Linked DNA regions of Stegostoma tigrinum. The protein of the gene in region 1 binds, or shares a complex with, the protein of each later gene. Links are inferred from orthologs where the notes say so. Each region holds a gene or a part of one and is shown in the gene's direction. Other genes may lie near its edges.

Region 1 (10,782 bases):
ACAGTGCCCACTCCCTCAGCACTGACTTTCTGATGTGTATGTATATTACCATTCTGTATTGGTCTTCTTCACCACATTCCCAGTGTGGGTCTAACTGAGGGATAGAGAGACCGGAACTGTGCACGGTGCTCCCAGTGTGGGTCTGACTGAGGGACATAGAGACCGGAACTGTGCACGGTGCTCCCAGTGTGGGTCTAACTGAGGGATATAGAGACAGGAACTGTGCACAGTGATCCCAGTGTGGGTCTAACTGAGGGATACAGAGACAGGAACTGTGCACGGTGCTCCCGGTGTGGGTCTGACTGAGGGATATAGAGACCGGAACTGTGCACGGTGCTCCCAGTGTGGGTCTAACTGAGGGATATAGAGACAGGAACTGTGCACAGTGATCCCAGTGTGGGTCTAACTGAGGGATACAGAGACAGGAACTGTGCACGGTGCTCCCAGTGTGGGTCTGACTGAGGGATATAGAGACCGGAACTGTGCACGGTGATCCCAGTGTGGGTCTAACTGAGGGATACAGAGACAGGAACTGTGCACGGTGATCCCTGTGTGGGTCCAACTGAGGGATATAGAGACAGGAACTGTGCACAGTGATCCCAGTGTGGGTCTAACTGAGGGATACAGAGACAGGAACTGTGCACAGTGCTCCCGGTGTGGGTCTGACTGAGGGATATAGAGACAGGAACTGTGCACAGTGATCCCAGTGTGGGTCTGACTGAGGGATATAGAGACCGGAACTGTGCATGGTGCTCCCAGTGTGGGTCTAACTGAGGGATACAGAGACTGGAACTGTGCACGGTGCTCCCAGTGTGGGTCTAACTGGGGGATACAGAGACAGGAACTGTGCACGGTGATCCCTGTGTGGGTCCAACTGAGGGATATAGAGACAGGAACTGTGCACAGTGATCCCAGTGTGGGTCTAACTGAGGGATATAGAGACCGGAACTGTACACAGTGCTCCCAGTGTGGGTCTGACTGAGGGATATAGAGACAGGAACTGTGCACAGTGATCCCAGTGTGGGTCTGACTGAGGGATATAGAGACCGGAACTGTGCACGGTGCTCCCAGTGTGGGTCTAACTGAGGGATACAGAGACTGGAACTGTGCACGGTGCTCCCAGTGTGGGTCTAACTGAGGGATACAGAGACAGGAACTGTGCACGGTGATCCCTGTGTGGGTCTGACTGAGGGATATAGAGACCGGAACTGTGCACGGTGCTCCCAGTGTGGGTCTAACTGAGGGATATAGAGACCGGAACTGTGCACAGTGATCCCAGTGTGGGTCTAACTGAGGGATATAGAGACAGGAACTGTGCACAGTGATCCCAGTGTGGGTCTGACTGAGGGATATAGAGACAGGAACTGTGCACAGTGATCCCAGTGTGGGTCTGACTGAGGGATACAGAGACAGGAACTGTGCACGGTGCTCCCAATGTGGGTCTGACTGAGGGATATAGAGACTAGAATCATATTTGAATGCATCAGCCCTTTAAGGTGAAAGAACAGGAACCGTCGGAGACCATGCAGCCGTTTTGTGATCCTGTTACACAGGGACTGGAGGAGTCCTTTAGGGTCATATGTTCTTGGAGATTTACTTTGCCAGAAAAGGCCCTTTGACCCATTAAGTCTGTGCCAGCTCAAACAACCACCTTTAAACTCTCTCATCCTTTATCCCAGCTCACGCCCGTAGTGTTGTCATCACAAGTGCACATCGAAATAGATTAGATGCCCTACTGTGTGGGTATAGGCCCTGCGGTCCAACAAGCCCACACTGCCCCTTGAAGCATCCCACCCAGCCCCATCCCCCTACAACCCACACACCCCTGAACACTCGGGGCAATTTGGCATGGCCGATCCACACAGCCTGCCCATCTTTGGACTGTGGGAAGAAATCGGAGCACCCGGAGGAAACCCACGCACACAGGGAGAATACGCAAACTCCACACAGACAGTTGCCCAAGGCTGGAATCGAACTCGGGTCCCTGGTGCTGTGAGGCTGCTGTGCTCACCACTGAGCCACCGTGCCACCCAGCTCTTCAACGTCCTGAGGATTTCTGCCCCTCCCACTCTTACAAGCAGTGAGTTCCCGATTCCCACCACATAACCCATTCGTTTATCTACCCAAACCGTTTGAGCTCCATCTCCAGCTCACATTTACTGCTCCCCAACTTCAGTAAACGAGCCAACTTTTTCCAAGCTGTTGTCAGTACTGAACCTGAAACCTCAACCCTGTCTCTCCCCCAAAGATGCTACCAGACCTGCAGACTTTCTGCAGCTGCTTCTACTTTTGTTTCAGGCTTACGCATCCATGATTCATTGTTTTATTTTGGTCAATATTTTAGACATTGTCAACATCTCCTCTCTGATCTTAAACTCTGCACCTTGGCTGATTAAAGGCATGTATCCTTTTTGCTTCTGAACCACTTTATCTAACTGTTCTGCCCCCATAAAGGACCAGAGTAAATTGTCGTCCCTCTGATCCTCAATTAATTGTGTATTCCCTAGCCTCATTTGTTCTACCCGAGTGCACCCCCTCAGGCATATCCAGAATGAATTGCATTTTCCACTGACCAGCCCATTGGACCGACCCGTCTATGTCCCCCCCGACATCTCAGGATAACCTCCTCACTCCTCACTATCCCATCCATTTTTTGTATCAACCTCCTACATTCAAGCGTAAATCATTTATATTTAACATTCAGCCCCTTCCCCAGCCTGTTACACAGGGGGACAGCAGGAGGCCATTCAGCCCCTTCCCCAGCCAGATACACAGGGGGGACAGCAGGAGGCCATTCAGCCCCTTCCCCAACCTGTTACACAGCGGAACAGCAGGAGGCCATTCAGCCCCTTCCCTGGCCTGTTACACAGGGGGACAGCAGGAGGCCATTCAGCCCCTTCCCCAGCCTGTTACACAGGGGGACAGCAGGAGGCCATTCAGCCCCTTCCACGGCCTGTTACACAGGGGGACAGCAGGAGGCCATCAGCCCCTTCCCCAGCCTGTTACACAGGGGGACAGCAGGAGGCCATGTAGCTGGTTCACAGCCAGTCTGTATCATAACACTCAACACACAGCTCAAGTCCATAACCGCTCGTCCACAACCGTCCCATAGCCCATGTCAGCAGTGACTCCATCCCAGCGCTCCAATTTACAATTGATTCTGTTGTCCTGTCCACTTCTCACAGTCCAGCCCCGACAGCTCCGAGGGGACGGACAAAGCTCTAGAAACCCATATGCCTTTTCCCCATCACTTGACTTCACCCAGATCTCTGACCCAGCCCCAGTTGCCCCATGGTGGCACCCCACAAAGAAAAGCCCTTGATGCAGACCTTTCCCCATCCCGAGGTTCCTCGCTGCATGAGGAGTTCGTGAGTTGTGTGTGATCTCCTGGTCCTTGATATGTAACAGTGTGCCAACATTCACACCACAAACACTTCCATCCAGAAGGACAAGGGGCAGCAGGTACATGGGACCCCCACCCCCTGCAAGTTCCCCTCAGAGCCACCCCTCATCCTGACTCGGAAATATACCCCCGTTCCTTCAGTGTCGCTGGGTCAGAATCCCTGGAATTCCCTCCCTAAGGAACACCCACGGACTGCAGCGGTTCAAGGCAGCTCACCCCCACCTTCTCAAGGGGGGCAACTAGGGACGGAGCAATAAATGCTGGGCCCAGACAGAGATGCCCATGCTCCTGAGTGACTACAAGCGAGAGTGTGGTAACCAATTGCTCAGGGATTGGATTCACACGGAGACAGGGAAAGCTGCATTATCTTCTGCTCCCATCTACTGGACAAAGCCCAGCACAGCATCTGGAAGTGGGCCCTTTCTCTTCAGAGCAGGTCAGAATGAGCAAAACCTGTTACCTCGGTCACTCCATCCCTCTGTCAAAGTAAACCTGACGGGGTGTGTTAATAGTGTAATGATGGAATCTATCAATGAGACAGCTTAAAAGGCAGGCACTGCCCAGAGCTAGGATGTCAGGCTGGTGCAATGCCAGTCACCATTTGAAACTGTAATGACACCAGCAGTTTTCAATCAAGATCAGAATCCCTGAACATGAGGTTCAGTATTCCACAAACATTTCACTTCGACACTCAGACTGGGCAAGTTACAGATTTGAGACAGAAACAGCAGGAGGATTAATACACCTCTAGTTATCACACTCTCTCAGGGAGATATCTGTACACTGACTTGTGTCTCTCAGTCCCCTCTCTCTCTCTCTCTCTTAGGGAGATATCTGTACACTGACTGGTGTCTCTCACTCCCCCCTCTCTCAGGGAGATATCTGTACACTGACTGGTGTCTCTCAGTCTCCCCTCTCTCAGGGAGATATCTGTACACTGACTGGTGTCTCTCAGTCCCCCCTCTCTCTCTCTCTCAGGGAGATATCTGTACACTGACTGGTGTCTCTCAGTAACCCCCTCTCTCTCTCAGGGAGATGTCTGTACACTGACTGGTGTCTCTCAGTAACCCCCTCTCTCTCTCAGGGAGATATCTGTACACTGACTGGTGTCTCTCAGTAACCCCCTCTCTCTCTCAGGGAGATGTCTGTACACTGACTGGTGTCTCTCAGTCCCCTCTCTCTCTCTCAGGGAGATATCTGTACACCGACTGGTGTCTCTCAGTCCCCTCTCTCTCTCTCAGGGAGATATCTGCACATTGAACGGCGTCTCTCAGTTCCCCCCGCTCTCTCTCTCTCTCTCTCTCTGTCTCTCAGGGAAATATCTGCACACTGACGAATGTCCCTTCTCTCTATGAAGACTAACCAACAGATACAGAGACAGGAACTGTGCACAGTGCTCCCAGTGTGGGTCAAACTGAGGGATATAGAGACTGGAACTGTGCACAGTGCTCCCAGTGTGGGTCTGACTGAGAGATATAGAGACTGGAACTGTGCACCGTGCTCCCAGTGTGGGACTAACTGAGGGACATAGAGACCGGAACTGTGCGCGGTGCTCCCAGTGTGGGTCTGACTGAGGGATATAGAGACTGGAACTGTGCACGGTGTGGTGTATTTGAGGAAACTAGAGAATCTATCGCTGTGCAGACTCTGACGGAAAATGCAATTTTGGGGGGAAATGATGGGAAATCCTGTTATGTCCATCGACACAGAGTGATGTGCCGGTGGAATTTACTCCGGAACATTAGATGTTTCAAGAAGGTGTTTGATGTATCTCTTGTGTCTCATGGTTTTGAGGGAAATGGGGGGTGGTAAACGTGAGCAGTCATGGAGCTTACTTCTCAGGCATGATCATATTGACTGGTGGAGGAGGTGTGATACACTGAGTGGCCTGTCTGTGTTGGTTCCTGCTATGTTTCAATGAAAGGTGGAAGCTAGGAAATGTTGTATCAGAGACAGTGGGAACTGCCGATGCTGGAGAATCTGAGATAACACGGTGTGGAACTGGTGGAACACAACAGGCCCAGCAGCATCAGAGGGGCAGGAAGGCTGACGTTTCGGGCCAAGACCTGAGATGTCAGCATTTGGGCTCCTGACATGCTGCTTGGGCCTGTGTTCCTCCAGCTCCACCCCTCGTTACCTAGAAAATGTTCTCCTGATGGACCCTATTACTTGCCTGGCCTATGGTGCAGAGTCAGTAAACTTGAAAGTATTGTATTTGTAGTTTTACTCAGCATTAAGGTGCTTTATCATGGTAGGAACTCGACGGGCCGAATGGCCAAATGATGAAACACAATTGCAGAGTGGTTCCCCCTTTTATGGAATTTTGGTCGACACCTTTTAAATCAAATCTTAGGGTGTGTCGGCTTTAAGAGCCTGCGGGGCGGGCGGGGCCTTTTAAATAGTGGCACATCCGGGTACTGGGCCTGCGGGGCGGATTTAGGTCCGGCCAATGGCAGGGCGTTTTGTTTGAGGATGAATTGTGGTGGGCTCAGCCAATAGGAGAGCGGTATATGGGAGAGGAAGCGTTCGGGTCGAGGATGCGGTTCGTGGTGACAGGCGGCAACGTGAGCGGTATGGCGGGGGGAGGGGAGACATAATCTTAACCCTTAGCCCCTCACCCCTCACCCTCTCACTGCCTCACGCTGACTCCTCCCACTGACCCCTCGCCCCCTCACCCTCTCACTGACTCCTCCCACTGACCCCTCACTGCCTTACCCTGACTCCTCCCACTGACCCCTCACTGCCTTACCCTGACTCGTCCCACTGACCTCACGCCCTTACCCTGACCCCTCCCACTGACCCCTGACCCCTCACTCCCTTACCCTGACTCGTCCCACTGACCTCACGCCCTTACCCTGACCCCTCCCACTGACCCCTGACCCCTCACTCCCTTACCCTGACACCTCCCACTGACCTCACGCCCTTACCCTGACCCCTCCCACTGACCCCTGACCCCTCACTCCCTTACCCTGACTCCTCCCACTGACCCTCACCCTGTCTGTCCCCTTTCCCTGAACCTAAGCCCCTCCCCCTCACTCCTCCTGACCCCTCAGTCCCCCTCCGCCCCGACCCCTCAGTCCCCCTCCGCCCTGACCCCTCAGTCCCCCTCCGCCCTGACCCCCCTGTCCCCCTCAGCCCCCCTCCGCCCCGACCCCTCAGCCCCCCTCCGCCCCGACCCCTCAGCCCCCCTCCGCCCCGACCCCTCAGCCCCCCTCCGCCCCGACCCCTCAGTCCCCCTCCGCCCCGACCCCTCAGTCCCCCTCCGCCCCGACCCCTCAGTCCCCCTCCGCCCTGACCCCTCAGTCCCCCTCAATCCCCCTCCGCCCTGACCCCTCAGTCCCTCTCAGCCCCCCTCCGCCCTGACCCCCCTGTCCCCCTCAGTCCCCCTCCGCCCCGACCCCTCAGTCCCCCTCCGCCCCGACCCCTCAGTCCCCCTCCGCCCCGACCCCTCAGTCCCCCTCCGCCCCGACCCCTCAGTCCCCCTCCGCCCCGACCCCTCAGTCCCCCTCCGCCCCGACCCCTCAGTCCCCCTCCGCCCCGACCCCTCAGTCCCCCTCAGTCCCCCTCCGCCCTGACCCCCCTGTCCCCCTCAGTCCCCCTCCGCCCCGACCCCTCAGTCCCCCTCCGCCCCGACCCCTCAGTCCCCCTCCGCCCCGACCCCTCAAGGTTTACACTGTTGCCTCATTGTCTACCCGCGAGACTGAAGTGCCAGCAATTGCAGAAATAAAACTCCAGAAGCCCTGCCGAGAGAGGCCACAAGGTCAGGTGTCGGTGACTGGGAACAAACACACAAATCGCTGGAAAAGCTCAGCAGATCTGACCGTGTCTATGTTCTTGTTTCTGAGGAAGAGTCACCGGATACTACAGCTTCACTGACGCTGCTGGACCTGCTGAGCTTTTCCAGCAATTTCTGATTATGTTCCCAGTAACTGACCCTCCGACAGCGCCCGCTCCCTCAGCACTGACCCCCCGACAGTGCCCGCTCCCTCAGCGCTGACGCCCCCGACAGTGCCCGCTCCCTCAGCGCTGACGCCCCCGACAGTGCCCGCTCCCTCAGCGCTGACGCCCCCGACAGTGCCCGCTCCCTCAGCGCTGACCCCTCCGACAGTGCCCGCTCCCTCAGCGCTGACCCCTCCGACAGTGCCCACTCCCTCAGCGCTGACCCCTCCGACAGTGCCCGCTCCCTCAGCACTGACCCTCCGACAGTGCCCGCTCCCTCAGCACGGACCCTCCGACAGTGTGGCGCTCCCTCAGCACTGAATAACATGCGCTGATGACTTACAGTGCTTAATTGGACGTAATGCTCTGTCATTGATAAACTTATTTTGTGAATATTTTCTGGATTTAGTTATTGGGAGAGCAATACACGCACTCTCGCGGATTGGTGAAGACTGTTACCTTGAGGCATTCGATGAAGGAGTGAGTATTATTGCATGGAAAGATGAAAGCAAGAAGTGGAGAGCTGACACACCAGTCAGTGTACAGATATCTCTCTGAGAGAGAGAGAGGGGACTGAGAGACACCAGTCAGTGTACAGATATCTCCCTGAGAGAGAGAGAGGGGACTGAGGGACACCAGTCAGTGTACAGATATCTCCCTGAGAGAGAGAGAGGGGACTGAGAGACACCAGCCAGTGTACAGATATCTCCCTGAGAGAGAGAGAGGGGGAACTGAGAGACACCAGTCAGTGTACAGATATCTCCCTGAGAGAGAGAGAGAGAGGGGGTACTGAGAGACACCAGTCAGTGTACAGATATCTCCCTGAGAGAGAGAGGGGGGACTGAGAGACACCAGTCAGTGTACAGATATCTCCCTGAGAGAGAGAGAGAGGGGACTGAGAGACACCAGTCAGTGTACAGATATCTCCCTGAGAGAGAGAGGGGGGACTGAGAGACACCAGTCATGGTACAGAAATCTCCCTGAGAGAGAGAGGGGGGACTGAGAGACACCAGTCATGGTACAGAAATCTCCCTGAGAGAGAGAGGGGGGACTGAGAGACTCCAGTCAGGTACAGATATCTCCCTGAGAGAGAGAGGGGACTGAGAGACACCAGTCAGTGTACAGATATCTCCCTGAGAGAGAGAGGGGGGACTGAGAGACACCAGTCAGTGTACAGATATCTCCCTGAGAGAGAGGGGGGACTGAGAGACACCAGTCAGTGTACAGATATCTCCCACAGAGAGAGAGAGGGGACTGAGAGACACCATTCAGTGTACAGATACCTCCCTGAGAGAGAGAGGGGGGACTGAGAGACACCAGTCAGTGTACAGATATCTCCCTGAGAGAGAGGGGACTGAGAGACACCAGTCAGTGTACAGATATCTCCCTGAGAGAGAGAGGGGGGGGACTGAGAGACACCAGTCAGTGTACAGATATCTTCCTGAGAGAGAGAGAGAGAGGGGGGAATGAGTGACATCAGTCAGTGTACAGATATCTTCCTGAGAGAGAGAGAGGGACTGAGAGACACCAGTCAGTGTACAGATATCTCCCTGAGAGAGAGAGAGGGACTGAGAGACACCAGTCAGTGTACAGATATCTCCCTGAGAGAGAGGGACTGAGAGACACCAGTCAGTGTACAGATATCTCCCTGAGAGAGAGAGAGGGACTGAGAGACACCAGTCAGTGTACAGATATCTCCCTGAGAGAGAGGGGACTGAGAGACACCAGTCAGTGTACAGATATCTCCCTGAGAGAGAGGGGACTGAGAGACACCAGTCAGTGTACAGGTATCTCCCTGAGAGAGAGGGGACTGAGAGACACCAGTCAGTGTACAGGTATCTCCCTGAGAGAGAGAGAGGGGGGAATGAGTGACACCAGTCAGTGTACAGATATCTCCCTGAGAGAGAGAGAGGGGGGACTGAGAGACACCAGTCAGTGTACAGATATCACACTGAGAGAGAGAGGGGGGGAACTGAGAGACACCAGTCAGTGTACAGATATCTCCCTGAGAGAGAGAGAGAGGGGACTGAGAGACACCAGTCAGTGTACAGATATCTCCCTGAGAGAGAGGGGGGACTGAGAGACACCAGTCAGTGTACAGATATCTCCCTGAGAGAGAGGGGACTGAGAGCCACCAGTCAGTGTACAGATATCTCCCTGAGAGAGAGAGGGGGGGGACTGAGAGACACCAGTCAGTGTACAGATACCTCCCTGAGAGAGAGGGGGGACTGAGAGACACTAGTCAGTGTACAGATATCTCCCTGAGAGAGAGAGGACTGAGAGACACTAGTCAGTGTACAGATACCTCCCTGAGAGAGAGGGGACTGAGAGACACCAGTCAGTGTACAGATATCTCCCTGAGAGAGAGGGGACTGAGAGACACCAGTCAGTGTACAGATATCTCCCTGAGAGAGAGAGAGGGTGGACTGAGAGACACCAGTCAGTGTACAGATATCACACTGAGAGAGAGAGGGGGGGGACTGAGAGACACCAGTCAGTGTACAGATATCTCCCTGAGAGAGAGAGAGAGGGGACTGAGAGACACCAGTCAGTGTACAGATATCTCCCTGAGAGAGAGATAGGTTTTGGACTGAGAGACACCAGTCAGTGTACAGATATCTCCCTGAGAGAGGGGACTGAGAGACACCAGTCAGTGTACAGATATCTCCCTGAGAGAGAGGGGACTGAGAGACACCAGTCAGTGTACAGATATCTCCCTGAGAGAGAGGGGACTGAGAGACACCAGTCAGTGTACAGATACCTCCCTGAGAGAGAGAGAGAGAGGGGGGAATGAGTGACATCAGTCAGTGTACAGATATCTTCCTGAGAGAGAGAGAGGGACTGAGAGACACCAGTCAGTGTACAGATATCTCACTGAGAGAGAGAGAGAGAGGGGACTGAGAGACACCAGTCAGTGTACAGATATCTCCCTGAGAGAGAGAGAGGGGGGACTGAGAGACACCAGTCAGTGTACAGATATCTCCCTGAGAGAGAGAGAGGGACTGAGAGACACCAGTCAGTGTACAGATATCTCCCTGAGAGAGAGGGGACTGAGAGACACCAGTCAGTGTACAGATATCTCCCTGAGAGAGAGGGGACTGAGAGACACCAGTCAGTGTACAGGTATCTCCCTGAGAGAGAGAGAGGGGGGAATGAGTGACACCAGTCAGTGTACAGATATCTCCCTGAGAGAGAGAGAGGGGACTGAGAGACACCAGTCAGTGTACAGATATCTCCCTGAGAGAGAGGGGACTGAGAGACACCAGTCAGTGTACAGATATCTCCCTGAGAGAGAGAGAGAGGGACTGAGAGACACCAGTCAGTGTACAGATATCTCCCTGAGAGAGGGGGGACTGAGAGACACCAGTCAGTGTACAGATATCTCCCTGAGAGGGAGACAGGGGGTACTGAGAGACACCAGTCAGTGTACAGATATCTCC
Region 2 (10,862 bases), on another chromosome or scaffold:
CTCCCTATTTTCTGCATATAAACTGACGTTTCCTAGCCATCATCAGTTTTGAGGAAGGGTCACTGCATCTGAAATGTTAACTCTGCTTTCTTTTCACAGATGCTGCCATACCTGCTGAGGTTTTCTGGCAACTTTGTTTTTGTCACTTTTTGTGTCTGGGCTCATGATCCTGGGTTTTAATTTATCCCATTCAAAAAAATTTACAAACGATGGGTGAAAGAAGTATAAACAAAAAGCAATTCCTCCCTCTGCACTGAATTTGCAGGTCGCCTCCAAATTCCCTGAACCATGTTCAGGCTCAAGCCTTGTCTCACTCTGTGTTGGCTACAATGGTATCTCTCCCTACTCACCATGTAAAGCCTATTGATTATTGATTATTATCATAATAATTCACTGGAAGTCTCTTAAGAATACATTCAATGACTGACATCCACAATAAATAATAAAAAATAAACATAATTATGGTCTATCAAGTAAAGAGATCTGACTTGTCCCATATTACCATCATTTGAGATCATAACAGAACATACATTCTTACTGGGACTGAAAATTTTTGGGTTTAAGAGAGATCTGTCAATCTTCTAGAATGAGTTTGTGTAAGTAGAATGTAGAAAAGAGAACAGCCCTGAAGAATGCTATCTGAATTGGAATTTCAAAATGACTTTTAACTGTTGCTAAGACTTCTCTTAAAAACATTGACAAAAGCTAAACTAACAGCTTCAGTGGATAAGTTGGGGTGTAAGTAAAAGCAGGATCTCAGAAAGTTCAGGTACTTGATGTAACTACACAGCATTCAGAGTTGAAGGGAGAGAAATTTGAAATTGACACATCACTGTTTCAATTAGTTAAGATATGAGACATGTTTAGAATTTGCAAGAAAAAAGGATCTGTGGGAACTGTGATTTTGGTTACTGAAATTGAGAGTAGTGTGCAGCAAGTAATGAAAATCATAATTACAGAAGAATTCCAAAGTAGTATTCCAGTCATGGACAAGATTTATTTAAGGGAACATCTAACACCAAAGGTCCAGGACATGGTAGTTATGGGGAGACCTTTGATATCTCACACAGTTACACATAGGAAAATGATCATATGTGTAGGCATTAATACTGCAACCATATAATTTGAAAATAATTTACAGATCGGAAAGAAACAAGATTATAATGGATACTCTGTCAAGAGCAAGACAGGAAAACAAATGTTGCGATCAAAGTGGACATGCATCAAATTTGATTGCTATGGCAAGTTGCCTATGTATTTAATACATTGGGCTGAATCGTACAATTTTTGACGAAGTCCAAGTTGTGTTGAGTTTTGGAGAAACATAAAAAGATGGAAAATAGGAGCAGGAATAGACCATTTGGCCCTTTGAGCCTGCTCCGCCATTCTTCACGATTGTGGCTGATGCTTTCTCACCATAACCTTTTATTTCATTTACCCCTAGTGCTCTATCTAGTTGCTTCTTGAATCCAGTCAATGTTGTGGCATCAACCACGTCCTGTGATAATGAATTCCACAGGCTCACCACTCTTTGGGTAAGAAATAACTTCTCATCTCTGTCCTAAATGATCGACCCCAAATCTTCATACTGTGATCCCTGGTTCTGGACACACCCACCAGCAGGAACATCCTCCTTGCATCGACCTTGTCCAGGACTGTTAGAATTTTATAAGTGTCTATGATATTCCAACTCATTCATTGGAACTCTTGTGAAACAATCCCAACCAGGTCAAACTCTCCTCATATGTTTGACCCACCATCCCTGGAATCAAAAGAGAAACAGAAGTTGCTGGAGAAGCTCAGCTGGTCTGACAGCACCTGTAAAGAAAAATTCAGAGTTAACGTTTTGGATCTGGTGACCCTTCCTTCTGTCTGGACCTGAAACGTTAACTCTGATTTTTTTCTTCACAGATGATACCAGACCTGCTGAGCATTTCAAGCAACCCCTGTTTTATGCCTGATTTACAGCATCTGCACTTCTTTTCATTTTTATCCCTGGAATCAGCATGGCAAACCTTTTCTGCACTTCCTTGGGAGCAAGAGCATCCTTCCTCAGAAAAGGAGGCCAAAACTGCACAACATTCGAGGTGTGGCCTCACCAAGGCCCTGTATAACTGCGACAACAAGGCTGCTCCTGTACTCAAAACCTCTCGCAATGAAGGTCAACATACCATTTGCCTTCTTTACCATGCGCTGCACCTGCGGGTTTGTTGCAGTGAGGCTGAGTTAGCAAATTCAACTCTTTAATTACCAAACCCACTCTTATGAATTATAACTGGAATTTATTGTCACAGATCATCAAGTATAAAAACACAGGAAATCCAAATTTACTTTATCTACTCTGCTTGTTTCATCCTCAAAGACCGTCATAAATTTGTGCAACACAATTTCCCTTTCTCATGACTATTTTGACTCTACCTGCTTGTTATAGTTAGCTAAATATCCTGCAATTCGTCCTTTGATAATGGTTTCCGACATTTTCTCAATGTCATCCAATCGTTCCCTAAAATAAATATAAAAGAACTTTGTGCACAGAGTTTGAAATTGTTGAAATTCAGCAGAAATAAGCATTGTGTCAATTTTATCATGCTTCATGGATGGCTCCTCTCCATGAGACCTGATGAGATTTCTATTTTCCAAAACTTACCTCTTTACGAAAGAGATAGTCACTGAGGTTGGAATTGAACATAGGTCACAGGCACTGCGAGGCAGCAATGATACCCACTGAGCCACCATGCTACCCATTGTGCCGTCATTCCATTTATCCTTACTCTGTTTCCAATTTCTAGTACCCTGCAACTTATATATATTGTGTTTTTCCTGTCACACTCTGATTACCATCATTCGTACTATTATTTCAAGTCCTCTCTAAAGTCCTAGTCATTCAGTTTTTCGGGTCACTGGCTCCAGAATGACTTAAGCAAAGCCAGTCTCAGTATTACAGTATAATAAAGTGTGAAGCTGGATGAACTGGATGATTGGGGAACCAAGCGGAGGCTTGGGGACCGCTTTGCAGAACACCTCTGCTCGGTTCGCAATCACACAACCAGCCCAGCTCTTTCCCTCCACCCACTGCATCCCAAAACCAGCCCAGCCTGTCTCTGCCTCCCTAACCTGTTCCTCCTCTCACCCATCCCTTCCTCCGACCCCAAGCCGCACCTCCATTTCCTACCTACTAACCTCATCCCACCTCCTTGACCTGTCTGTCTTCCCTGGACTGACCTATCGCCTCCATACCTCCCCACCTATACGCTCCTCTCCACCTGTCTTCTTTTCTCTCCATCTTCCGTCCGCTTCCCCCTCTCTCCCTATTTATTCCAGAACCCTCACCCCATCCCCCTGTCTGTTGAAGGGTCTAGGCCTGAAACATCAGCTTTTGTGCTCCTGAGATGCTGCTTGGCCTGCTGTGTTCATCCAGCTTCACACTTTATGATCTTGGATTCTCCAGCATCTGCAGTTCCCATTATACCCAGTATTACAGTTTCTGTTTTCTGCACTGCTGGTGTCAGTGCCTTCAGAATTTAAACCCATTTTTTCAGCCACACATTCTTTTTGATTTTAACATATGCCAATTTGCTTGTGCCTCAGGTAGTAATTCAGCAGTTAGCTTTGCAGTTTTTCGATTTAATTTTGTCTCTCGTTATTCATATTCCCTTAGCACAACCTCTTTCTTTCCATGTCCTATCTAAGCAATTGGTAGGTTACTCACACAATATCAACACTTTTTTCACCTTGATCAAGTTAGTGAAATATAACTTGCCTTGAACAAATCCATTCCAGCTTTCCTAACAATTCTGCACTTATCTAAGTGTCTGCCAGTTTTGTTTTGAATAATCACCTCATAAACCTTTCCTACCAGAAACATTAAATTGGAATGGTCAATAGTTCCTGGGTATATCCTTACATCATTTCTTGAACACAGAATGATTTACAAAAAAGTTGTCATTGATGCAGCAGATCAATTCACAGACCTTTGGGTTACCAATGTACCAGTCTGGTCACATTATTTTTCAGCATTCCACAGATGCTGTCAGACCTCCAAAGAATTTCAATCATTTTGCTCTTCTACCACTATGTTCACACATTTGACATAAACATTACATGAGGTCGGCATTGCAATCCATCCTGTGTAGTCAACTGAATGTTATTCAGTCTTTCACTGCATGTTATTTTTTCATCTCAAATTGAATGTGGCTTTTCCACGTAAAATTTTGTTCTTCTGTGCATTGGTTATTCCTTCAACTCACCATGGACAGCCATTTCTTCAACGATCAACTGCTGATATTTGAAATTTCCTCCATAAACCTCTTTGCATCTATACCCTAACCTTCTATAAGGCAGTTTGTAAAGCCATCTCTGTGACCAAGCTTTTGGTTAGATTAGATTAGATTCCCTACAGTGTGGAAACAGGCCCTTTGGCACAACAAGTCCACGTCACCCCTTGAAGCATCCCACCCAGACCCATCCCCCTATAACCCACACAACCCGGAACACTACAGGCAATTTAGCACGGCTGATCCACCTAGCCTGCATATCTTTGGACTGTGGGAGGAAACCGGAGCACCCGGAGGAAACCCACACAGACACGGGGACAATGTGCAAACTCCACACAGACAGTTACCCGAGGCTGGAATTGAACCCGGGTCCCTGGCACTGTGAGGCTGCAGTGCTAACCACTGAGCCACCGCATTGCCTTTGCTTGGTTGGGTTTCAGTTTTTAGTTGATTATGGTGCCCGGAGCTTTTTACAACATTGAAAGGATTATTATCAATTCAAAGTGACATGAGTCAACACCAGCTGTAATGTGATTCTCATGGACCAAATATGCCCTCATGTATCTCCCTGTGTATGGCATTCACACTACACTTTTGTCTCTCTCTGCTGCAGATCCAATAAATTGCAATCAGTGGTTTCAATCTTGCCTGTCAAAAAAGATCATCATTCACCAAAAACAAAAGCAGAAATTGCTGTTGACACTCAACAGGTCTGGCAACAACTGTGGAGAGAAGCATTTCAGGTCCAGTAGCACTTCTTTAGAATTATTGTAGCTGGGAAAATGTTGGTATATATACTAAACAAGGGGTTAGGGGTTAGGGAAGGGGAAGGAGTAAACCACAAATGGAGATAGAGTGCAGAGAGAAAGAGAAATATTGTTGAGTAGACAACAGAATGGATAAAGATCAGCCTGGGAGAATGAATAGCCGTATAGGGGAACTATTAGTGACTGACAATGGGTTGTTTGTGATAGCAGCTCATGTGATGACAAAGCATGGGCTTTGAGTTGGGACAGGGGAGGAGCTCAGGCCCTAAAATTACTAAAATTGATATTGAGTCCAGAAGATTGCCAGGTTCCCAAGCAAAAAATGAGGTGTTGTTCTCCCAGCTTGTGTAAAGCTTCTCTGTTGCACTGTCAGAAGTCACACTTTAGCAGACTGTAGTCCACCAGGTTTATCTGAAATCACAACTTCTGGAGCACTGCTCGTTTGTCAGTTCGAAATTCTTTTCCTTCGGTTTACTGAATTTTCACCTTAAAGACTCCTAAGAAACCCAGCCTTGGGTCCCTTTCCTCAGTCTACCCATTCCCTCCTCTGACATTATTTATGCACATGCTACAACTTGATGAAATGACCTTCCCTTGGATCCAAGATAACAAAGTGTGGACCTGGATGAACACAGCAGGCCAAGCAGCATCTTAGGAGCACAAAAGCTGATGGTTCGGGCCGAGACCCTTCATCAGAAAAGGGGGATGGGGAGAGGATTCTGAAATAAATAGGGAGTGGGGGGAGGCAGACCGAAGATGGATACAGGAGAGGATAGGTGGAGAGGAGAGTATGGGGGTGGAGGAAGGTAGGGAGGGGATAGGTCTGTCTGGGGAGGATGGACAGGTCAAGGGGGCGGGATGAGGTTAGTAGGTAGAAAATGGAGGTGCTACTTGAGGTGGGAGGAGCAGACAGATGAGAGGAAGAACAGGTTAGGAAGGTGGCGACGAGCTGGAGTGGTTTTGGGATGCAGTGGGGGGAGGGGAGATTTTAAAGCTGGTGAAATCCACACTGAGATGATGTGAACTGCAGATGCTGGAGAATCCAAGATAACAAAGTGTGAAGCTGGATGAACACAGCAGGCCAAGCAGCATCTCAGGAGCACAAAAGCTGACATTTCGGGCCTAGAACCTTCATCAGAGAGGGCCCTCTGATGAAGGGTCTAGGCCCGAAATGTCAGCTTTTGTGCTCCTGAGGTGCTGCTTGGCCTGCTGTGTTCATCCAGCTTCACACTTTGTTATCTTGAAATCCACACTGATGCCATTGGGCTGCAGGGTTCCCAAGTGGAATATGAGTTCCTGTTCCTGCAACCTACAGGTGGCATCATTATGCCCTGCAACCCATCCAGACAACCAGCATCCACACCGCAGAGATAGTAAGAACTGCCGATGCTGGAGTCAGAGATCACAGAGTGTGGAGTTGGAGGAACATAGCTGGCCAAGCAACATCAGAGGAACAGGAAAGTTGATGTTTCGGGTCTGGACCCTTCTGCAGAAAAAGTCCCGACCTGAAAGGTCACCTTTCTTGCTCCTCTGATGCTGCCTGGTTTGCTGTGTTCCTCCACCTCCACACTATGTTACATCATCCACACTGCTCCTGGTGCTCAGGTGTCTATTCACCATCCAGCCCTACCCTCCCTGGCGCACAGGAGACGAGTCCTCGCCCCTTACCCGGGTAACCAAGTGACCTTCCTCTCGAGTACAGGAGACCGCCCCTTTCCCTCCAAACCATCTTGGCCCTTGGCTGTTGTCGTGGTAACCAAGCGGCGTCCAGTCGGAGCGGAAGTGATGTCGCGCGTTGACGAGCTCATTCTATATCCGGTCGACGCAAGGATGAAGTTTAGAGGGAAGATCGTTGATGTTGGTTGCTTAAATCATTTTACCCGTAAGTCAGTAAGATGAAGCCGGTCTTTTCCTTTCTTGGATAGTCGGAACTGCAGCTGCTGGAGAATCTGAGTTAACAAGCTGTAGAGCTGGATGAACACAGCAGACCAAGCAGTATGATAGGAGCAACATCATGCTGCTATGACGCTGCTTGGCCTGCTGTGTTCATCCAGCTCTACACCTTGTTATCTCTTTTCCTTTTTTGGTCAGGGTACAGCTCGTGTGGATGCTGCAATGACCTCTTGTTCAATCTTTTTTCAAATTCACCCAGTTCTGTTTCAATCTTTTTTCAAATTCACCCAGTTCTGTTTCAAGACTTGTCCATAAGTCCGTTACTGTTACTGTCACTGAAGCCCTATTCACATTTTCCTTCACATCTTCATTTTTTTAAAACTCCAACCTTGTTCTGTAGATGAGTTATAAATTACCCCACAATCCATTCGCTGCACTTTCTGGTCACTCATTACCAAACCAGGTTTTAAAACTCTGTTTTTGGCTGAGAGACGTTTTGTGCTTTTTCTCCAGCGGCTCAAACTTTTGTCGGTTTTGTATTTTCCCACCTCTTTACATACTCCCTCAATTTCACCTTTGTTGATGGCTTTTAAACGTCTTGAACCCTCTCTGAAACCCCTTCAGCTCCTGGAAATCCACCCAATAATGAAATTCCATAAAGTAACTTGCCTTTTAGATACCTGTCTCAAAACATAGGCAAATATTTGATACCATTATGACAAGTATGTACCCTTTCTATATTTGAGTAAAACAGATGCAAATTATTATTATGACAAGATGACATGGAAGTGTATGCTATTTTGCTGTTTTCCAATGGTGTAGCATTATCATAAAGGAAAGTGGACAACTAATTGCACATCACGCAATCTCAAAAATAAGGGAAATTTGTGATGGGCAATAAATACTTAACTAGCCAGCAATGCCCACAACTTGTGAACAAAACATAAATTTGCTGAAAATATAAAGATACAAGGAGTCTTTAAAAAAAGTGTATTTAAATAAGTGAACAAAATTTGACAGATGGAATACATTTGGGAAAACATGACATAGAACATTACAGCGCAGAACAGGCCCTTCGGCCTTGATGTTGCGCTGAACTGTGAAACCAATCTGAAGCCCATCTCACCTACACTATTCCATTCTCATCCATGTGTTTATCCAATGACCATTTAAAGGCCCTTAAAGATGGCGAGTCTACTACTGATGCAAGCAGGGCATTCCATGCCCTTACTTCCCTCTGAGTAAAGAACCTACCTCTGACATCTGTCCTATATCTATCACTCCTCAATTTAAAGCTACGTCCCCTCGTGCTAGCCGAGGAAAAAGGCTCTCACTGTCCACCCTATCTAATCCTCTGATCATCTTGTATGTCTCTATTAAGTCGCCTTTTAACAGCCTCAAGTCCCTCAGCCTTTCCTCATAAGACTCCATACCAGGCAACATCCTGGTAAAGCTCTTCTGCACCCTTTCCAATATTTCCACATCCTTCCTATAATGCAGTGACCAGAACTGTACGCACTACTTCAAGCGTGGCCACACCAGAGTTTAGTACAGCTGCAACATGACCTCATGGCTCCGAAACCCAATCCCTCTACCAATGAAACCTAAAACACTGTACACCTTCTTAACAACCCTATGAACCTGTTTGCAACTTTCAGGGATCTATGCACATGGACACCGAGATCTCTCTGCTCATCCACACTACCAAGAATCATACCAATTGGCCCAGTACTCTCTATTCCTGTTATTCCTTCCAAAGTGAATCACCTCACACTTTTCCGCATTAAACTCCATTTGCCACCTCTCAGCCCAGCTCTGCAGCTTATCTATGTCCCTCTGTAACCTGCAACGTTGTTCCGCACTGTAAGTGACATTTCCACTTTGGCAAAAAGAATAGAACGTTAAAACTTTATATAAGGGGAAAAAGAGAATCCAATTTATGGGGAAAAGGCGGAAAAGTGGTGTTTAGAGTGAGATCAGCCACGATCTCATTGAATGGCAGAGCAGACTCCATAAACTGAATGGCCTACTTCAACTTCAACATCTTACCGTCTTGAAGACAGCAGGATGTTGCAGAACAGAAGGATCGTGGTGCCATTGTACACAATTGTGGAAAGTCAGCCTGCAGGTACAGCTAGACTACGTCTGAAATGATTGGAGAGTTACTGCACTTCTTCACTCAAACTTTTAATAGGTGATAAATTTACCAGAAACAATAATAAAGGCTTTGTTTCTATTGTAAAATGAAATTAATTTTTGGTCTCTTTCTGCAAGAAAGGACAGAAATGCATTTGGGGTCAGCAGATTGGCCTTTTTCTCATTGTAGTTTAGAAAAATGAGAGATGTATGTTTCTAAGGAAATTTGACAAAGTAGATCCTGAGAGAAGTCTTCCTCTCTTGAGGGAATCCAGAGCTAAAAGGCTTAAATTAAAAACAGGGAATCTCCTATTTCAGAAGGAAATGAGTAAGAATTTTTTCACTGAGGACCATTCGTGTTTGGAATTCTCTTCCCTAGCAATAAATGGAGGGTGGATCATTGAATAAATGCGAAGTTTAATTTGACACATTGATTAATAGGGAATCGAGATTTGTGGGGAGCAGGCAGAAAAATGGAGTTGCTTATTTTTAGTTTATTTGTTCGATCTGGCTATTGCTGGCTGGGCATTTATTGCCAGTCCCTCATTGTGGGGGAAGAAAGGTGGTGTTGCGTTTCCTTCTTTAATTGCTGCAGTCACGGAAGGGTACACCACAGTGCTGTAAGGAAGGGAATTCCAGGATTTTGATCCAGTGACAATGAAGGAATGGTGATATAGTTCCAAGTCAGGATGATACATGGTTTGGAAGGGAAGTTTCAGGTTGTGTTGCTCGCATGCATTTGTTTTACATGGTTGTAAGTTTCAGAAGTGTTATTGAAAGAACCTTAGTAAATTTATGCAATGCATCTTGTCAATGGTGCACACTGTTGCCACTGTATGCTGGAGCTAGAGGAATGAATGTTGAAGGTGGTGGATGTGTTGCCAATAAAGTGGGCTGCTTTGTCCTCGTTCATGTCAAGTTTTTTGAAGGCTGCTGGAGTGGCACACTTCGAGGCAAGTGGAGAGTACCTCTCCACAATTCTGACTTGAGCCTTGTAGATAATGGACACTTTCAGGAGTCAGATGATAAGATGCTTGCCATTGAAGTTTTGACTTGTGCTTGTAACCACTGTATGTATTTAGCTATTCCAGTTCAGCTTCTGAGCAATGATAACCTCCAGGAAGTTCATAGAGGATTCAGCAATGGTAATGTCGTTGAATGTCATGGGGGTAACAGTCAGATTCTGTTTTATTGGAAATGATCATTGTTTGGCTCTTGTAAGGGACAAGTGTGGCTTACAATTTATCAGCCCAACCTGGATATTGTCCAGGTATCATTGCTTGATTATCCAATGCTTCCATCCGGGAGGGTTGGTAGTGTAGTGATAATGCAACAGGACTAGTAATCCAGAGCTCCCACCTTATTCTCTGGTGACATGCTTTAAAATCCCGCCCTGGCAAATGGTGAAATTTGATTCAATAAAAGACAACTGGAATTTAAAATAAGGCTAGTCTAATGGCATCCATTGTCATAAAAACCCATCTGGTTTACCAATGTGTTTTAGGGCAGGAAGCCTGTCATCCTGACCAGATCTGGCCTACATGTGACGACAGACCTACAATTTGGTTGACTTTTCATTCCTGTCTGGGCAGTTGGGGATGGGAAATAAATGCTGGACCAGCCAGCAAAATTCCATACTTCATGAATGAGTTTTAAAAAAGTACCTGAGGAGTCTTGAATGCTGCTAAACGTTGTGCAATTATCTGCAAACATTTCTACTTCTGACATTATGACAATGAGAACTAAGCAACTGAAAATGGTTGGTCCTAGGAGATGACCCTGAGAAACTCCT
Region 3 (9,850 bases), on another chromosome or scaffold:
TGCAGCCCAATGGTATCAATGTGGATTTCACCAGCTTCAAAATCTCCCCTCCCCCACTGTGTCCCAAAACCAGCCCAGCTCGTCCCTGCCTCCCTAAAGTGTTCTTCCTCTCACCTATCCGCTCCTCCCACCTCAAGCCGCACCCCCATCTCTTACCTACTAATTGAGAGTGGTAGGGGCGTGGAATGCGTTGCTGGAGAGGGTCGGAGTCGGCGTCATTATGGGCATTTAAGCAACTATTAGAAAGGCATATAGATGATAGTATAAGGTAGCAGTGGAGGTTACATAGATCTTAGGTTCAGGGTAAAAGTTCAGCACAATATTGTGGGCAAAAGGGCCTGTATTATGCTGTACTGTTCTATGTTCTATAAAGTCAATAAGGGCATGAACAAGGAGAATAGCCAATGTTTTTTTCCCCAGGGCGGGGGGAGTCCAAAACACTACAGCATAGGTTTAACTTGAGAGGGAAGAGTTATAAAAAGGATCTCAGGAACAGCTATTTCACACAGAGGGTGATGCATCTATGGAATGAGGTGCCAGAGGAAGTAGTGGAGGCTGGTACAATTGTAATAGTTAAAAAGTATCTAGATGGGTACATGAATAGTAAGGGTTTAGAGGCTTCTGGGCAAAATGCTGGTAAATGGGACTAGATTAATATTGGATATTTGGTCAGCCTGAATGAGTTGGACTGAGGGGTTTGTTTCCATGCTGTACAAATGTATAACTCTACTCAATGCTTTATTAACAGCTGTCTCTACCTGTCCTGGTATCTTTGATGACTTATGTGCCTATTCATTCAGGTTTCTCTGCTCCTGCACACCTTTCAGAACACATACACTTCAGAATATCCTGTCATTTGGTGTCCTTTGTATCAAAATATATCACCTTGTGCTTTTCCACACAGAACTTCATCTATCAAGTATCTATCCGTTCCACCCAACTTGTCTACTGCCTTTTGTCTTTTACATTGTCCTCCTATTGGCTTAACATTCTTCCATGGTTTGTGTCATTTATTAACTTTGAAATTGTACCCTGAACACCTAGATCTAGATTATTTATATGTATCAAGATCAGAATAGGACCCAATTGTTGTTTAAGAAACAGGCATATAATAACCCAGGACTGCATACCAGTCAGCATGACATCAGTGGTAGGTAAACTGATGGAGGCCGTAATATGGGATAAAGTAAATACACGCTTAGAGTAAAATAAGCTAATACTAGGCAATCAACATGGCTTTGTCAAAGGCAGATCATGTCTGACAAATTTAGTTAACTTCTTTGACAGGGTAACACAGGCAGAGGATAAGGGTAGTTTTGTTAATGCTGTATATTTAGACTTTTATATTTAGATCATTGGGTACATGATGGTAGGGATTCAAAGTTGTTTAAAAGATAGGAAAAAGAGGGTATGAATAGATAGGCATTTTTCAGATCAGAGACATGTTAAAAATGGTGATCACCGGGAACTGGTGTTGGAACCCTTGCTTTTTCTGATTTATATTTATGATTTGAAGATAGATGTTGAGGGAAAATCTTTAAATTTGCAAATCATTATAAGCTAGGGTGAATAATGAATTGTGAGGATGATGCTGAGTGACTAAGATAAGTGTAGAAGCAGGCCATTCAGCCCTTCGAGACAATGGCCCTCCGAAAAGCATTCCATCTAGACCCACCCCCATATCCTATCTGTGTGACCCTGCATTTAGCATGGAAACTGCACCTAGCCTGCAAATCTTTGGACTGTGGGAGGAAACCGGAGCACATCCATGTAGACATGGGAGAATGTGCCAACTCCATACAGTCGCCCAGTGCTGGAATTGAAACCACGTCCATGGCACAGTGAGACAGCAGTGCTAACCAATGAGCTGCCGTGTCACCCCTGAGGGATGCTGACAAGTTGGCCAAATGGGCTCACACTTAGCAGATGTATTTCATTGGAGAGAAATGTCAAGTAATGCATTTTGGTAGAAAAAAAAATTGACAATACAGGCTCAATGATACAACTCTGAGGGAATACAGGAGCAGACAGACTTCGGGGTTCACAAAATTCTCTGAAGGTGGCCAGGTAAGTTGAAATCATTGTTAAGAAAATTTATAGGATCCTTGGGTTTATAAAAAGACGCGTAGTCAAACCGACTGCTGTGGCCAACATGGAGATATCCTGACAGGGTTTTCAAAGATAGTAGGAACTGCAGATGTAGGAGAATCTGAGATAACAAGTGTAGAGCTGGATGAACACAGCAGGCCAAGTAGCATCAGAGGAGCAGGAAGGTTGATGTTTCCGGCCTAGTACCTTTTCGAAAATGAAGAAGTGTCTAGGCCTGAAACGTCAACCTTCCTGCTCCTCTGATGCTGCTTGGCCTGCTGTGTTCATCCAGCTCTACACCTAGTTATCTCAGGGTTTTCAAATACATCCTAATGAGGGTTAGCAAGAAGGGCAGCTTGGAATACAAGGGCATTGTGAGGGGCACCAATAATATTTGTGAAAAATTGGTCCCTGAAATAGAAGAGCTGGAGCTGGAATACAAATGCCTGGGGGATGGAAACATTGATCACAACAAAATGGAGAAAAAAAGATTTCAGTGCTTGGCATTTCCATTGATTTTGGGAAAATAGATTACATCATCTCTGTGGAAAAACTGAAATCCGTGTACAAGGAATATGGAATTATGTAGTCAGGCAATACCAAGTAAAATCATCGTGTGGAATCTTATTTATCAGCAGAATTGTTATTTAACTGCATACACTTTGTGTTATTGATTTCAATGTTTCCAGATGTGAGTTGTTTACTTATGGTATCAGTTGAACTATGGTAACACTAAAAGACTTTGTGTACTATGATATTAAACAATATCAACATAGAATGTACTTTTGAGATACTTTGCCCAATAAATCATATTTTGAAAAAAAAACAAGGAGGTGATGCTACACCTCCACAAATTATTGGTAAGACCACATTTAAAATTGTGTTCAGTTCTGGATACCTTATTTAAAGAAGGATGTTAAAGTCATGCTGTGGACGTGCCGGTGTTGGACCGGAGTGGACAAAATCAGAAATCACATGACACCAAGTTATAGTCCAACATGTTTATTTGAAAACAGAGCACTGCTTATTCATCTGGTGAGAGTTCAAAGGAGGTTTATTACAATGGTAATACGAATGAGGGATTTTAGATATTAGAAAAAAATAGAGAAATTGGGCTTATTCTCCTTGGAGCAGAGATTAAGAGGTGACCTTACTGAGGTGTTCAAAATTATGAACAATTTTGACAGGGTAAAGAAGGATATTCTATTTCTACTACTTGATATGTCAGTAACTAGTGGTTACAATTTTAAGATTGTCAGTAAGCCAGGTAGGAGTGAAATGAGGAAAAACGTCTTTACTCAGCGAGTTGTCAGCATTTGGAATGTGCTACCTGGTAGTGCAGCGTAGGTGGATTTGATAGGAGGTTTCAAAAGAGAGATGGGTCTACACATAAAAGTGATGAATTTAGAAGGTTACATGGATAGGGCCCGGAAAATGGGACCAGTTGGGTGGCTCTTTCAAAATGTGGTTCAAACACAATGGATTAAATGGTCTCCTTTTATAGTGTTAAATTCTATGATTATAATGCTCAGCCCCCAAAACCTCTATTACAAGCTGTCCTCCAGCCCATGAAATACCCACTGGCTATTAATCACTGTTTCCTAGCCCTCAACAAATTTCATATCCAGTACCGATGAATGTTCCATAAATGATCTGGAGGAAGGTACAGATGGCCTGATTAGCAAGTTTGCAGATGACACTAAGATTGGCGGTGTAGCAGATAGTGAAGGGGGCTGTCAGAATATGCGGCACAATATAGATAGCTTGGACGTTAGATGGAGAAATGGCTGATGGAGTTCAATCCAGGCAAATCCGAGGTGTTGCATTCTGGAAGATCCAATTCAAGAGTGAACTATACGGTAAATGGAAAAGTCCTGGGGAAAATTGATGCAAAGAGAGATTTGGGTGTTCACGTCCATTGTACCCTGAAGATGACAATGCAGGTCGATAGAGTGATCAAGAAGGCATACGGCATGCTTTCATTCATCGGACGGGGTATTGAGTTGGCAGGTCATGTTACAGTTGTCTCGGACTTTGGTTCGACCACATTTGGAATACTGTGTACAGTTCTGTTCATCACATTACCAAAAGGATAGAACATAGAACATAGAACACAGAACACTACAGCACAGTACAGGCCCTTCGGCCCTCAATGTTGTACCGACATGTCATACCGATCTCAAGCCCATCTAACCTACACTATTCCATGTACATCCATATGCTTATCCAATGAAGACTTAAATGTACCTAAAGTTGGCGAATCTACTACCGTTGCAGGCAAAGTGTTCCATTCCCTTACTACTCTCTGAGTAAAGAAACCACCTCTGGCATCTGTCCTATATCTTTCACCCCTCAATTTAAAGCTATGCCCCCTCGTGCTCGCCGTCACCATCCTAGGAAAAAGGCACTCCCTATCCACCCTATCTAACCCTCTAATTATTTTATATGTTTCAATTAAGTCACCTCTCAACCTTCTTCTCTCTAGTGAAAACAGCCTCAAGTCCCTCAGCCTTTCCTCGTAAGACCTTCCCTCCGTACCAGCCAACATCCTAGTAAATCTCCTCTGCACCCTTTCCAAAGCTTCCACATCCTTCTTATAATGCGGTGACCAGAACTGTACGCAATACTCCAAGTGTGGCCGCACCAGAGTTTTGTACAGCTGCAGCATAACCTCTTGGTTCCGGAACTCGATTCCTCTATTAATGAAAGCTAAAACACTGTATGCCTTCTTAACAGCCCTGGATGTGGATGCTTTGGAGAGGGTGCAGAGGAGGTTCACCAGGATGTTGCGTGGTATGGAGGGCGCTAGCTATGAAGAGAGGTTGAGTAGATTAGGATTGTTTACGTTAGAAAGATGGAGTTTGAGGGGGACCTGATCAAGGTCTACAAAATCATGAGAGGTATAGATAGCAAGAAACTTTTTCCCAGTGTGGGGAATTCAATTTCTAGGGGTCATGATTTCAAGGTGAGAGGGGGAAAAGTTTAAGGGCGCTATGTCTGGAAAGTTCTTTATGCAGAGGGTGGTGGGTGCCTGGACCGTGTTGCCAGTGGAGGTGGTAGAGGCGAACACAATAATGTCTTTTAAGATGTATCTAGACAGATACATGAATGGGCAGGGAGTAGAGGGATAGGTGAAAAATAGGTGACAGGTTTAGACAGAGGATCTGGGATCGGCAAAAGCTTGGAGGGCCGAAGGGCCTGTTCTTGTGCTGTAATTTTCTTTGTTCTTTTTTTGTATGACTACACTGGAGAGGTTACAGAGGAGATTCACCAGGATATTGCCTGCAATGAAAAGTATCAGTTCTGAAGGACAGGTTGAGTTTGTTTTATTTAGGGTACAGGAGGCTGAGTTTGTTTTATTTAGGGTACAGGAGGCTGATGGAGTTGCACAGATTTAAGAGAGTTGTTAGAAGACATAAACGATCCCTGGAGGAGGGTCATTTTGACAGCAGCAACAGGTTGTGTTTGATAGTTTGGCGGGCGCGGCGCCAAAGGAGGGAATTGAACAGACAAAGCTGAAGGACAGCCCGAGCGTTGCACAGGCACAACGGGCTGAATGGCCTCCTACGGTTTCAATGGTGATTGAATGGTTTAGTTGGCTGTAAGTGCCGAAGATTTATTCATCAATTCAAACCTGTTGTATCTGTCTGCTGCCTGGAGCTGAGACTCCGCGGAAGCAGCTGCGGCCTAACCGTGACTGAAGCCTGGGCCTGGAGTTTTACCGATCGTGGGCGCAATGCCTCAGCCCAGGCCTGAGGCGGGAGCCGAACGGTTTGTTCTCGTCGCCAGTTTAGAAAATGTGCGGAATCTGTCAAATCTGCTTAAAGCCGTTAATTTCCGAGACCAGGCGACGGTGTTCGCCTCCGCTAACGGCATCAGGGTGACAGCTGAGGCCGCCAAGAGCGTCCAGGGGAACGCGTTCATCCAGGTACCGGGGGGGTGGGAGGTGTGAGAGTTCATCGGGCGGGTGTCGGGGGTGGGGTGTGAAGGATTGGGAGGAGGGTGTGAGGGATTCAGGGGTGTCAGTGGGGTGGTGTCAGGGGAGGGTGTGAAGGATTTGGGGTGTCGGTGTGAGGGATTTGGGGGGTCAGTGTGAGGGGGAGTGTCAGGGGAGGGTGTGAGGGATTGGGGGGGTGTCAGGGGAGGGTGTGAGGGATTGGGGGGGTCAGTGTGAGGGGGATGTCAGGGGAGAGCGTGAGGGGGGGTGTCAGGGGAGGTTGTGAGGGATTTGGGGGGGTGTCAGTGTGAGGGGTTGTCAGGGGAGGGCGTGAAGGATTGAAGGGGGACTGGGAGGTGGGGGGGTCAGTGTGAGGGGAGGTGGGGGGGTCAGTGTGAGGGGAGGTGGGGGGGTCAGTGTGAGGGGGGTTGGGGGGGTCAGTGTGAGGGGTGGTGCCAGGGGAGGGTGTGAGGGATTGGGGGGGTCAGTGTGAGGGGTGGTGCCGGGGTAGGGTGTGAGGGATTGGGAGGGTCAGTGTGAGGGGTGGTGCCGGGGTAGGGTGTGAGGGATTGGGAGGGTCAGTGTGAGGGGTGGTGCCGGGGTAGGGTGTGAGGGATTGGGAGGGTCAGTGTGAGGGGTGGTGCCGGGGGAGGGTGTGAGGGATTGGGAGGGTCAGTGTGAGGGGTGGTGCCGGGGGAGGGTGTGAGGGATTGGGAGGGTCAGTGTGAGGGGTGGTGCCGGGGGAGGGTGTGAGGGATTGGGAGGGTCAGTGTGAGGGGTGGTGCCGGGGGAGGGTGTGAGGGATTGGGAGGGTCAGTGTGAGGGGTGGTGCCGGGGGAGGGTGTGAGGGATTGGGAGGGTCAGTGTGAGGGGTGGTGCCGGGGGAGGGTGTGAGGGATTGGGAGGGTCAGTGTGAGGGGTGGTGCCGGGGGAGGGTGTGAGGGATTGGGAGGGTCAGTGTGAGGGGTGGTGCCGGGGGAGGGTGTGAGGGATTGGGAGGGTCAGTGTGAGGGGTGGTGCCGGGGGAGGGTGTGAGGGATTGGGAGGGTCAGTGTGAGGGGTGGTGCCGGGGGAGGGTGTGAGGGATTGGGAGGGTCAGTGTGAGGGGTGGTGCCGGGGGAGGGTGTGAGGGATTGGGAGGGTCAGTGTGAGGGGTGGTGCCGGGGGAGGGTGTGAGGGATTGGGAGGGTCAGTGTGAGGGGTGGTGCCGGGGGAGGGTGTGAGGGATTGGGAGGGTCGGTGTGAGGGATTGGGAGGGTCAGTGTGAGGGGTGGCGCCGGGGGAGGGTGTGAGGGATTGAGGGGAGATTGGGAGGTGGGAGGTGGGAACGGTGTGAGGCGGTTGTGGGGGTCACTGTGAGCGGTGGTGTCGGGGAGGGTATGAGGGATTGAGAGGGGTATTGGGAGGTGGGGGGGTTCACTGTGAGGGGTGGTGCCAGGGGAGGGTGTGAGGGAGGTTTGGTGGCGGGTGGGGTAGTGTGGGAATATCTGGGTGGGGGGCAGGTGTGAGAATTCATCGGGGATGGTGTTACGGAGGATATGAGGGGGGGATCGGGAAAGGGAGTGTGCGTGGGGAATTGGGGTTGTGGGAGAGGATCCAGGGTGGAGGATACAGTGCAGGGTAGTTGGGGAAGGAGAATTCTGGAGTTTAGGGGCCATGGGACGATACTGGGGGAGGAGGTAAAAATGCCAAGGGCTTTGGACAGAGGAAGGGGGAAAGAGCAGATACCGGGCCCTGGGAGAGGGAAGGAAAGGAGTTGTGGCAAGTTTGGGGCTGAGTCTGGAGTCTGAAAAGAGATACTGTGGAATTTTTTGTAGTTGTATAGGAATGACTTGGATGTGGGAAGTGATTGTATTATCAACAAGATTTTGGATGATACAAAAAAGAATTTGGAAAGTTAAGAGGTGAGGATAACCAAAGAGTCTACAGAGGAACCGTCAGCGGAAAATTGAGAAATTTGTACCGAGATCTCAGTTATCAGTAAGAATAATAGGGGTGTAACTGTAAAGCAATTTAACTTTCCAGACATAAATTGTGACTGCCATGTTAAGGGCTTGGACAGAGAGGAATTTGTAAAGTGTACACAAGAAAGTTTTCTTATTTGGTATGTGGATGTACCTACTAGAGAAAAGGCAAATGTGTCTTTCTCCTGGAAAATAAGGCAGGGCAAGTGTCTGCGGTATCAATGGGGGAGCAGTTTGGACCGAGTGATTATAATTCTATTCATTTTAAAACAGTCGTGGAAAAGCTTGGACCTGATCTAAATGTTAAAGAACTAAATTGGAGTAAGTCTGATTAAGCAAGAAGTATCAACAGTTAATTGGGGGATGTTGGGGGTTGGGTATTCACAGGAAAATGGATGTCTGGAAAGTGGGAAACCTTCAAAAAATACGGTAGTGTGAAGGGCAACGCTGGTAAGTGAGGAATTGCTGGATGACCATAGAGTTGAGGCCCAGAAAGAAGAAATTATTTATCAAATATAGACAGCAGGGATCGAGTGAATCCTTGTAAGAGTATAAGGGTAATAGGAGTATTCTCGAGGGAAATCAGGATGGGAAGAAAGGAGACATGGTAGGACTAAGAAGAATCCAAAGGGACTCTACAAATACATTAAGAACAAAAGATTAACTAGGGAGTGAATAGGGCCCCTAAAAGAAGCAAGGCTGCCGATGTGTGGAGCTGCAGGAGGTAGGTGAGATACTGAATGAATATTTCGCATCAGCACTTACTTTGGAAAAGGATATGGAAGCTAGAGAACTTGGAAAAATAAATACCGATATCTTAAACGCTCCATATTACAGAGGAGGTGGTGCTGGACATGTTAAAACGCATAAACGTGGTTAAATTCTCGAGACATAATTGGGTGTACCTAGAGGTTTGTGGGAAGCAAGGGAAGTGATTGCTGGCCTCCTTGTTGAGATATCTGTATCATGGATAGCCACGGGTGAGGTGCCAGAAGACTGTTTGTTGGCTAATGAAGTGTCACTATTTAAGAAAGATGATAATGAAAAGTCAGGGAACTATAAACCAGTGAGCCTGACATCATGAGTTGTTGGAGGGGATTCTGAGGGACAGGGTTTACATTGGAAAGGCAAGGACTGATTAACTATAGTCAAAATGGCTTTGCATGTTGGAAGTCATGGCTCGCTAACTTGACTGCATTTTTTGAAGAAGTGACGAAGAAGATTGATGAAGTCAGAGCGGCGGACGTTATCTCTATGTTTGAGTGATAATGGGAACTGCAGATGCTGGAGAATCCAAGATAATAAAATGTGAGGCTGGATGAACACAGCAGGCCAAGCAGCATCTCAGGAGCACAAAAGCTGACGTTCGGGCCTAGACCCTTCATCAGAGAGGGGGATGGGATGAGGGTTCTGGAATAAATAGGGAGAGAGGGGGAGGCGGACCGAAGATGGAGAGAAAAGAAGACAAGAAGATAGGTGGTCTTTTTTTCTTCTTCTTTTCTCTCCATCTTCGGTCCGCCTCTCCCCCTCTCCCTATTTATTCCAGAACCCTCATCCCATCCCCCTCTCTGATGAAGGGTCTAGGCCCGAACGTCAGCTTTTGTGCTCCTGAGATGCTGCTTGGCCTGCTGTGTTCATCCAGCCTCACATTTTATTAACCTGTTATCTCTATGTTTGACTGGTTAGCAAGGTTAAAGCACGTGGAATACAGGGAGAACTGGCCATTTGGATACAAATTTGGATTGAAAGTAGGAGGCAGAGGTTATTGGTGGAAGGTTAGTAAGTTTGCAATTGGTGATTTAGTGGACAGTGAAGACATTTACCTCAGAGTACGAAGGGACTTGATCAGATGGGCACACGG

What was found.
Region 2: the proteins of cell cycle checkpoint control protein RAD9A-like (region 1) and hus1 are in contact, whole or in part, in a crystal structure (PDB 3GGR), measured with the Homo sapiens proteins. The link is inferred for Stegostoma tigrinum from reciprocal best matches to the Homo sapiens genes RAD9A and HUS1. Residues at the interface, in NP_004575.1 of Homo sapiens: Leu157, Pro158, Pro161, Val176, Ala186, Lys191, Ala192, Met193, Val194, Thr195, Glu196, Met197, Cys198, Leu199, Gly200, Asp203; in NP_004498.1 of Homo sapiens: Thr84, Asn87, Arg90, Ala91, Lys93, Thr94, Phe110, Ser121, Ser123, Ser126, Arg127, Ile128, Val129, Thr130, His131, Asp132, Ile133, Pro134, Ile135.
Region 3: the proteins of cell cycle checkpoint control protein RAD9A-like (region 1) and rad1 are in contact, whole or in part, in a crystal structure (PDB 3GGR), measured with the Homo sapiens proteins. The link is inferred for Stegostoma tigrinum from reciprocal best matches to the Homo sapiens genes RAD9A and RAD1. Residues at the interface, in NP_004575.1 of Homo sapiens: Leu76, Ser82, Val83, Ser86, Leu90, Lys92, Leu112, Phe116, Gly117, Val118, Arg119, Lys120, Thr121, His122, Asn123, Leu124; in NP_002844.1 of Homo sapiens: Glu165, Ala166, Ser168, Glu169, Asn195, Ala196, Gly197, Ser198, Ser199, His200, Leu201, Asp202, Tyr203, Pro204, Asp206, Ser207, Glu211.

The regions. Positions count from the first base shown.
Region 1 is NC_081399.1:1,877,819-1,888,600, forward strand, and holds the start of cell cycle checkpoint control protein RAD9A-like, read left to right. Parts: upstream 1-5,899; 5' UTR 5,900-5,913; coding exon 5,914-5,974; intron 5,975-7,751; coding exon 7,752-7,822; intron 7,823-10,782. UniProt on the Homo sapiens protein: Component of the 9-1-1 cell-cycle checkpoint response complex that plays a major role in DNA repair. The 9-1-1 complex is recruited to DNA lesion upon damage by the RAD17-replication factor C (RFC) clamp loader complex.
Region 2 is NC_081355.1:94,444,530-94,455,391, forward strand, and holds the start of hus1 (checkpoint protein HUS1), read left to right. Parts: upstream 1-6,829; 5' UTR 6,830-6,871; coding exon 6,872-6,923; intron 6,924-10,862. UniProt on the Homo sapiens protein: Component of the 9-1-1 cell-cycle checkpoint response complex that plays a major role in DNA repair. The 9-1-1 complex is recruited to DNA lesion upon damage by the RAD17-replication factor C (RFC) clamp loader complex.
Region 3 is NC_081369.1:67,980,310-67,990,159, forward strand, and holds the start of rad1 (cell cycle checkpoint protein RAD1), read left to right. Parts: upstream 1-5,223; 5' UTR 5,224-5,824; coding exon 5,825-6,016; intron 6,017-9,850. UniProt on the Homo sapiens protein: Component of the 9-1-1 cell-cycle checkpoint response complex that plays a major role in DNA repair. The 9-1-1 complex is recruited to DNA lesion upon damage by the RAD17-replication factor C (RFC) clamp loader complex.